2 linked regions of the Oryzias latipes genome follow. The protein of the gene in region 2 interacts with the protein of the main gene of each other region in a biochemical or structural test. Links are inferred from orthologs where the notes say so. Each region holds a gene or a part of one and is shown on either strand. Other genes may lie near its edges.

Region 1 (4,417 bases), on a different chromosome or scaffold from region 2:
CACAGACTGACCCAGTCACTGTCCCAGCGTGACCTCCCGGTGGGAGTCTCCATGTCGTTAAAATGCAACAATTAGAGACTAATGATTGTGTTACAGGAAAAGGTGGGATCAGTCTTTTTGTTGAAAATAACAAAAACAAAACATCAGTGTTTTGCCTCAGAAGAGCATGTGCTGTCAGGTTGGTGCCGTCTTTTGAGGGTTGTCGCCTTGTTTCAACAGGAGTTACACTGGACATCCTTCTTAAAAGCTCTGACCTGCTGCTCCACTCTGTTTATTCTGACCGGCTGAAAGTTGGTGGATGGCTGCTACTTCAGCTCAGCATCCTTTACAGGTGAGACTCATAAGAGAGCCCTAACTTTGCAGTTTATATCAGGTGAAAGTAACTCTTCTCGTAACTTTTTGCATTGCAAAGTGCTAAATACTGTAAGGCAGACCTCATATTTACATCTAGTTGGTGGGAATGTAAAGGCAATAAAGAATTTGTTGATTTTGAGTAGATCTTTGTCTTCCTTCCAGTTTCTACCTTTTTCATCCTCTGTCCTATGGCATGATGGGTCCTCTTGCCCATGAGCCGGGCAGTGCCATGGCAGGCCTGAAGTGGATAGACTCCTGGGACTTCTAGTTATCCTTGTTTGATTAAGATGTCACAGACACGGAGCATTTTGAGCCGAGGGAATTTCAAAACATCAGTTTGAGTCTAAACATTTCATTTGTCTTTCTGTAAGAAAAAATGTGAATTCAGTCAGTTTGGAAAGCAGATTGTAGAATCTTTTAAGATGCACTGGAGTTGTCACCAAGTTGCCTTTAGTGACAAACTAAATTCCATTTGAAAGAGACAGTAGTTGTTGTTTTTTTTAAAGCCAGAACATTTTACATGTATTTTTAGTTGAGATTGTCCTGAGCTTTAGTATTATACTTTTGATTTTGTGTTTTTATTATGTTGATCAATAAATTGTTTTATTCTTGTATTTCATGTCCTGTTATATTTGCAAAATTTACAAACACAAAACGAGATGTGCCGCAAAGTCAAAAAATTGGAAAACTCAATATATATATATATATATATATATATATATATATATATATATATATATATATATATATATATAATAAATTGTACCGTTTTTTTATGTATACTTAAGTTCAAACTTGTAAAATCTGTGAAACATGGGCCTAGTAAACTAAATGCAAGAAATTGTTGTTATAAAAATATAAACTAAATGCAAAACATTCCAAATCTGGGATGTGAAAGTCTTGTTTAATAATTGAGTTATGGTTTTTCTTTCCAGAAATAAAAACTAGAGGGAATAAAAGGTGATTTAAATGTCCCCTAAGGTAAAACCATAAAATGTACCAGCATTGTAACATTTCATTGAGACTATGGTGGGCTTAAATAAGGGTCTTTTCATTAAGTTATGACAGTAATGTTCGTACTACAATTTCTAAGACGATATAAATCTTTGAATAAAACGAACAGTAATCTTCTGTGCCTCTTGTAAACAGCGCGAGCACCATTGCCGCCCTCTAGCGGCGTAATTTTGAAAAACATCGCCACACCTCAAAACAGAGCGCGGCCGCTGCGATTGGTTGTTGCATGTCACATGATTATTTTGAAGATGGCGTCTCCAAATGGAGGTAAATTTTAATTCTTCTCTCCGATACGCTTTGAATACATCGCAAATGTGACAGTTTCGAGACATTTAAGTCGTTAACAGTTATAACGCAGTGTAATGTGAACACCCAGAGGTAACGTAAAATTTGTCGTAGGACTAAATTCTTGTTTAATCGGTTTGTTTTTCTTCCTTTGTTTTTCCTGATTCTGGGACTGACATTGTCCGCCGTTGATGATGACAGCAGCAGTCCAGATTGTTCTTCTTGTTGCTTCGTTTGGCCGTTTGGCTCGAATTAGCATCAGTGCTACATTTAGCACTTAGTTATTTTTCTCTACTTTAAATTAGTAGTAGCTGTTTTGGTTGCTTGTTAGATTTTGTGTGACTGTTCGACTCCTTTGATTGAAAATGGAATCAGTCTGCTATTAAGTATTATGTCCGTAATGAGTATCTTTTAATGTGTTAAAAATGTTGAAAGCAAATTCTAAAAAGTTTAACAGTCTGCAGAACCAATAATGTTATTAGTTAGTAATTCACACTCTGTCAAGAGTTATTGAAATTTTGGATACAATTCTCTATATTGGTGAAGGACCAGTGTTCAGATTTGATAGCAAAAGTAATTGTTGATAAGAAAGAAAACCCTTTATACATATACAGACAAATAAGAAAGAAAAGTGTCTCTAACAAGTGTGCCAAGAAAAGATCCCCCATACCATCACACCACCACCACCAGCAGCCTCAACTGTTGATACAAGGCAGGATGGATCTATGGTTTTATGTTGTTGATGCTACCATCTGAATGTCCCAGCAGGAATGGAGACTCTTCAGACCAGATGTTTTTCTAATCTTCTATTGTCCAGTTTTGGTGAGCCTGTGTGAATTAAAGCTTCAGTTTCCTGATCTTAGCTGACAGTAATGGCAGCATTAGGTGTGGTCTTCTGCTGCTGTAGCCTATCTGCCTCAAGGGTTGTTCAGAGATGCTCTTCTGCAGACCTTGGTTGAAACCAGTGGTTCTTTGAGTTCCTGTTTCCTTTCTATTAGCTGGAACCGGTCTGGCCATTCTCCTCTGATCTCTCACATCAACGAGGCATTTCTGTTTAAATGGCCAAACATATTTTTACAGCAGTGTAAGAGTTATTAGTAGATGATCAGATCACCACATGACTATGACCTCTTTGAACATTTTAATTGATCAGTGTTTGTACGAATCTTAAATGAATAAAACCATTTATTCTCATTCGAAACTGCCTAATTTTAAGACCAGATAAATATTAGATTTTTTCCTCTCTTTCTGTCTAGATAAAACATGAAACAAAAGTTGTTTTTAGGTTTCAATTTTTGACCTGTTTATAAAAAGTTACTTTTTAATTTTTTTTAAATTAACATTTGGCTGAATTTTATAGTTGACCACTGATTTCCAAAAGCATAGAACTTAAAAAACTAAAGAACATGTCAAAGTGAACCACTGTGTGCTTCTGCAGGGGAGGATTTTGAGATTTCGTTGCTGAGTTTTGAGAAGCTGGACAGAGCATCACCTGACCTGTGGCCAGAGCAGTGTAAGTTTCTATCCTCCCACGCCCAGCTGATAAAAAATTACTTTGTAATTGATTCTTTATGTGAATTCTCACACAGTGCCTGGAGTTGCAGAGTTTGCGGCAACTTGCAAAAATGTGAGTTTAGCTCTGATCTAAAGATGCAGGATTGACTCTGCATAGACTGATTGGAGTTGAGACTTTGTATGTTGTTGTTTTTCTCTTTTTATTGCAGCCTATCACCACCTCTCCTCCAAAGTGGATGGCTGAGTTGGAGAGTGAGGACATTGAAATGTTGAAAGGTTGGTTCAGACAGCTGACATTTATCCTGTATAAACCTTAGGGAAAACATTAAAAACCCACTCTGATAAGAAAAACCGTGTTTTGAACATGTTCTTGTGGCATTTGATATCTTGACATCTGATAATGGAGGACACGTATAAAGAAAATTAAGCTTGAAATTGCATTTCTGAGTTCTTATTTATTCAAATCGTTGTGAATCAGGAGCAGATGAAAAAATGCTGTTTGAAATTTCTTATTTCTTAATCAATATTGCTCGCCATTTTCGTTTCTAAGGTTAGGTTGGGGGTGTGAGTGGCTGTAAGCTAGCAGTAGAGTGTATAAACTGATGATCTACTGCAGCTCTGCTCTAACTGTCCTTAAAAATCACACAGTGTTTTTTTTCTATCTCGGCAAAAAACGGCATAATCATTCATTAAAAGACCTCTGGGAACGCCTTTTAACCCTTGTGCTATCTTAGATGACCCCACCCTTACATTGACGTGTTCTTCCGACCATGACAAAGGTGGATAAAGGTGGAAAGATTTCATGTAATCCATGGACACCAGTGAAGATCATAAATCATTGAAGAAAAAAAGTTCAGCGCACTGTCTAGTGGGTCTACATGACCCAACTCCCAACGTTAAAGTGCCTAGGATAGCACAAGGGTTACAACAGATCAAAAGATCAAATCCGAGTGGGACTTTAAATAATAATTCATGTTTCTTTAGCTAATTAAGTATCTCTAAATGCTTTTATTTAGTGTGATGTTATACCTCTGCAGAGCTGGGAAGTCTGACTACAGCCAATCTGATGGAAAAAGTCAAAGGACTTCAGAATCTGGCTTACCAGCTGGGTTTAGAGGAGTGTAAGTATAACAAAGACACTTCACCACTAGGGGGGGCTAAAAGCATTTCCACGCAATTCTCTGCCGCTGAAGTCTTTGGCTGCTTCCACATTCAAATTCCAAACAGGTTGACCTCACTTGGATTTCAA
Region 2 (4,376 bases):
AAAAAAATTGGGGCTTTCTTTTATTTTTATTTGTAGAATTTCTAGTGCCCTTTAAGGCTCAAAAAGCAGCATTTTTTTTAACTGTACAAAAAGTGTGTTTATTTATTAATAAAGTAGCATAGCTATTTAAAAAATAAACTAAATAATCCTGATGGTCTCAATTATATGTTAGATCTTTATCTTCTAAAGGGAGACAAAAATTTGGAGAGGATAGATGCCAGATTGAATAAAACTGTAAGCGGAGGACAGAAGAAAGCCAAAAAATATTAAAGTCCCCCACCAAAGATGTGGTGGAGGAAAGTATACAGCAGCTAACCTGGATGCATCTTCTGCAAAATTTCATATCATCCTGGAAGGAGAGTCCAGCAGCAAACCACAACCCACTACAAGGAACAAAAAGACATTATTATAAGTTTACATTTTTGGTGGCTACTGAACTTTACTAGTAACTTGAGAAGAAGTGAATGACAGGACCGCTTGGGAGAGGGCCATCCAAAACTTTGCAAAGTCATCAGGGGTTAGCTGCATTTTAGGAATTCATATTTATAATAGGACAAAATCATCCATTGTGACTTTTAATTTTTAGAAATGATTACAATCAGTATGACCACCAAGTTCAATAGTAAAAAAAAAAAAAGCATCTAAATCTTCAAACTGAGCTCATCAGAAAATAGTTATGACACTAAATTAAATCAGGTTGGATATTTTTGTGGTTCCCTGAACTTATCAGGCAATAAACTATTTAAATTGTCACCTATATGGGAAGTTTTAAATACTTTTGAGAAGGAAAAAAGAAAGATGCATAAACAAAATCAAACACAGACACATTCTATTTACCTTTCTAAAATTAACAAAGAGCTGAAAGTTTGATTTTAGAACACTGATTAAACATTAAAGACAAATAAAATACTTTCTTAATTCAATGTGGACAAATAAATATAATTTTCTTAAACAAGTGAAGCCGATAAAGCATTTTGAAAGCAGTCCCGTCGCTGCTTCGGCGTCTTTTAAACGTCTTACTATTCTTTAGGTTCAGGACTAAGAGACTGAACAGTTCCTTCAGTAGCTGTGCTCATGATGCCATCAACGGGCTTAATAAAGCATGAATATAATAACAGTTAGCTTATATTCGGAGCGGTATAACATCACAAGTGATTGTTAAAGACCTATGGATCAAACCGGTGTGTCATCTTCTCACGCCCAACTGCTTAGATCCATTCCAAAGCGGAATCAGACGAAACCCATCTCTAAACAATTAAAAGCCCATCGTTAATCCAAACAGACGCTTTTCCCGAGAAATTCTTTACTTACAGATGATACGATAAATCTCGTCATGGCTGGAATTTGAGAGGCATGTTCAGAGTTAACGTCCGTTCTCTCTTTGTATCGCTAATGTAGGACTCCAAATCCCGGTGAGGATGACAAACGTTTATGGGCTTGCATTACAGTTAGCTGTCCGACTAGCTAACGTGCTCGTCGTTCCCCTGAAACTGCGGGATAGGCGAGCAGGTCTCTCACCACCAGCCCACCGTTAGCTAGTGACGCTGTGTGGAGCCAGCGGATTGTGGGGCCCATTCAAACTGGTTCGTCAACAAGTCAGCGTTAACCATTAGCCACGTTAGCCGAATAAGCTACCAAGCCAGGTTAGCCTCTGAGCACTGAAGCTCAAACCGCCCCCTTGTATTAATGTAATTACCCACCGCACTGACAGTAAGTCAAATCGGAGGCGGAACGTAACAGGGTCTCAATCATACAATGACAGTGTCTGATATAGCAAAGTTAGCAAAAACGTTAACACTGTGCAGACATGACTTCCATTGACTGCTACACATCATTTACAGCCGACATCAAGACTAAATCCGCCCAGCGTTAAAATCCGTCCACTGACCTACTGACTGGAGGCGAACGTTAACGCTGGCTTTACAGGAAAAAATGTTAGCTAGCCGCCACACCAGCTACCATCCTTGTCTACCGCGTCCATCATTGTTAACTATTCCCTCTGCAGAGTGAAAAAAATCCGCCGAAAGATGTAGTATCCACGCCATGAAACGATCATGCGCAACAGAACAGTTTGCGATTACTCACCTCTGATGGCACGATCTTCATTTAAAGTCCAATAACCTGTAAGATGAGGAAACTTATCCAGCTTGAGATTCTCCCCTCCCTGCACGGTTAGCGAGTAAATCCAATCTCTGTACTCAGATCGGCAAGCTCTAAAATAACCCGTCAGTCACATCTGGTATGCACTTCATGGCTCAAGCTTTAATGCGCAACATCCAAGGCCGAAATAACTTCAGCAAATGTTAATATTACCCGATGACAAGCAACATGCTAAGCAGCACGCATAAGTCAGTAGCTAACCTTAGCGAGCTGGCTAGCTGGATGACAAAATGAGCGCAGCTAACGTTAGCTACCTGCCCTGGTTGGCCTCAAGCTAACTATTCTAGCAACCGCTAAACAAACGTTATGCCAAATTCCGATTTAACGCTATCTTTACAAAATTCACATCGGTCGCTTCGACTAGTGCGACAATACAATTATATCCAGATCATGAAAACACAAACCATAAGCCGCGTCCTCTGATAATTTTGGTTAGGAATTTTGAGTCAATTTTCACAAAATGGCGCGCGGTCCAAACCTGCGCAGTGAACCGGCCCGGTGGACCAGAGACACGGACAACTGAGTTAGTGCGGCGCCGCCTAATTATTTCAGCTCAATTAAAACATCGGCCTCTTGACTTTCTTGATCCGATCCACTGTGCGCATTTCAACATCCAAAAACGTCAAACATATATCTTCTGACAGCATTATTCCGGCGGGAAGGGAGAACATTTGAAAAGACTGAGCAGAGGAAAAAAAAAACCTCCTGACAAAATGGCGATGCTCTAGCTTGTTCCCATGGCAACTGTCAATCAAAAAAAATGGAAGTACCCGGATGCACCAATGACGAATAAAATCTGAACTGACCAGAGTTCTACACATGTAGCTCGCTTGGTGAACCAGACAACATATTTTGTTAGATATTGTGTCTAGCCATGGCTTTATATATATATGTGAATTTTTCTTTGTATAGTCGTTTTTGTGCTGTTGCTGTGTCATACCCTGTTTGCTACCTCTTCAACCTCATATCTATCTATCTATCTATCTATCTATCTATCTATCTATCTATCTATCTATCTATCTATCTATCTATCTATCTATCTATCTATCTATCTATCTATCTATCTATCTATCTATCTATCTATGTATCTATCTATCTATCTATCTATCTATCTATCTATCTATCTATCTATCTATCTATCTATCTATCTATCTATCTATGTATCTATCTATCTATCTATCTATCTATCTATGTATCTATCTATCTATCTATCTATCTATCTATCTATCTATCTATCTATCTATCTATCTATCTATCTATCTATCTATCTATCTATCTATCTATCTATCTATCTATCTATCTATCTATCTATGTATCACAATTTTGTCAGAAATAGTCTACATTAATTTAGAAAATTTTAAAATATAAGGCTCTATTTTGTTATCTGTTTACAAATCACAATTGTATAAAACTAGTGATACCCATATAATTAAAGATTAATATCCTTTAAACTTTGAAAAGGTTTTAAAAAAACAACCTTATCCTTGTAAGTTTGAGTTATGCTGCAACAATAATCAAATGCTGCTTTTAAAAAGAAATTCCAGTTGCATGCAGTAGATTAGTACTGGCCACATTGCAGGAGATGTATGGGTGTTAACTTGTCACTGAACCAATTAATGCTGAATCAGTAGTTGGGTTAAGCATGTTCATTGTGTAAAAATTTGTGGTTGTAAAATTGTACAGTGCTAACAGTCCATGGTGAATTATTTTAAGGCCTTTTCATGCCCATATGCAAAAACTGGAATATAAATGTTAAAAAAAATTCTAACTTTTTTTTTAACGGATTTATAGTTTTTAATACTGTTAAATTTTAGACTTTAACCATCATGAAAGCCTGAGATGGAATATGATAAATTCTGCCTGTATTTCTCAGCTTTACTTGGTTAGACTTAAGTGAAATACCCTTGATTTTTATTACAGCTAGCAACCAAATCAGACAATAACAGCATTTCAGGGACACAAACTTCCTTGTTCATATTTTATATTGTGAAGCTAATTTGTAACTGACTTGTCGCAGAGAGGCGACTGGCATTGTTTCATAGTACAGTACACTTAACAATCAGATTGGTCAATCTATGCGCTACAGAGTCCAGAGCTCATGAACCCTGCTAATATTCAATTATTATTATTGTTATCTGTTGGTGCAAATTTTGATTGGTGTGTTGTGAAATGTGTGTTTAAATGACTGAAGATGCTTCTCAGCTGTCATGAGTCAG

Evidence for each region.
Region 1: of the proteins of dyrk1a (region 2) and lin52, one has a biochemical effect on the other in vitro, tested with the Homo sapiens proteins (3 studies listed by BioGRID). The link is inferred for Oryzias latipes from reciprocal best matches to the Homo sapiens genes DYRK1A and LIN52.

The regions. Positions count from the first base shown.
Region 1 is NC_019880.2:13,720,954-13,725,370, forward strand, and holds the start of lin52 (protein lin-52 homolog), read left to right. Parts: upstream 1-1,598; 5' UTR 1,599-1,601; coding exon 1,602-1,635; intron 1,636-1,686; exon of another isoform or gene 1,687-1,746; intron 1,747-2,421; coding exon 2,422-2,475; intron 2,476-3,091; coding exon 3,092-3,166; intron 3,167-3,242; coding exon 3,243-3,280; intron 3,281-3,377; coding exon 3,378-3,444; intron 3,445-4,205; coding exon 4,206-4,289; intron 4,290-4,417. Other genes in the region: pomt2 (protein O-mannosyl-transferase 2), read left to right, coding at 220-331, 517-622.
Region 2 is NC_019871.2:12,323,608-12,327,983, reverse strand, and holds the start of dyrk1a (dual specificity tyrosine-phosphorylation-regulated kinase 1A), read right to left. Parts: upstream 2,890-4,376; 5' UTR 2,086-2,889; intron 1,504-2,085; exon of another isoform or gene 1,312-1,503; intron 384-1,311; 5' UTR 327-383; coding exon 317-326; intron 1-316. UniProt on the Homo sapiens protein: Dual-specificity kinase which possesses both serine/threonine and tyrosine kinase activities. Exhibits a substrate preference for proline at position P+1 and arginine at position P-3.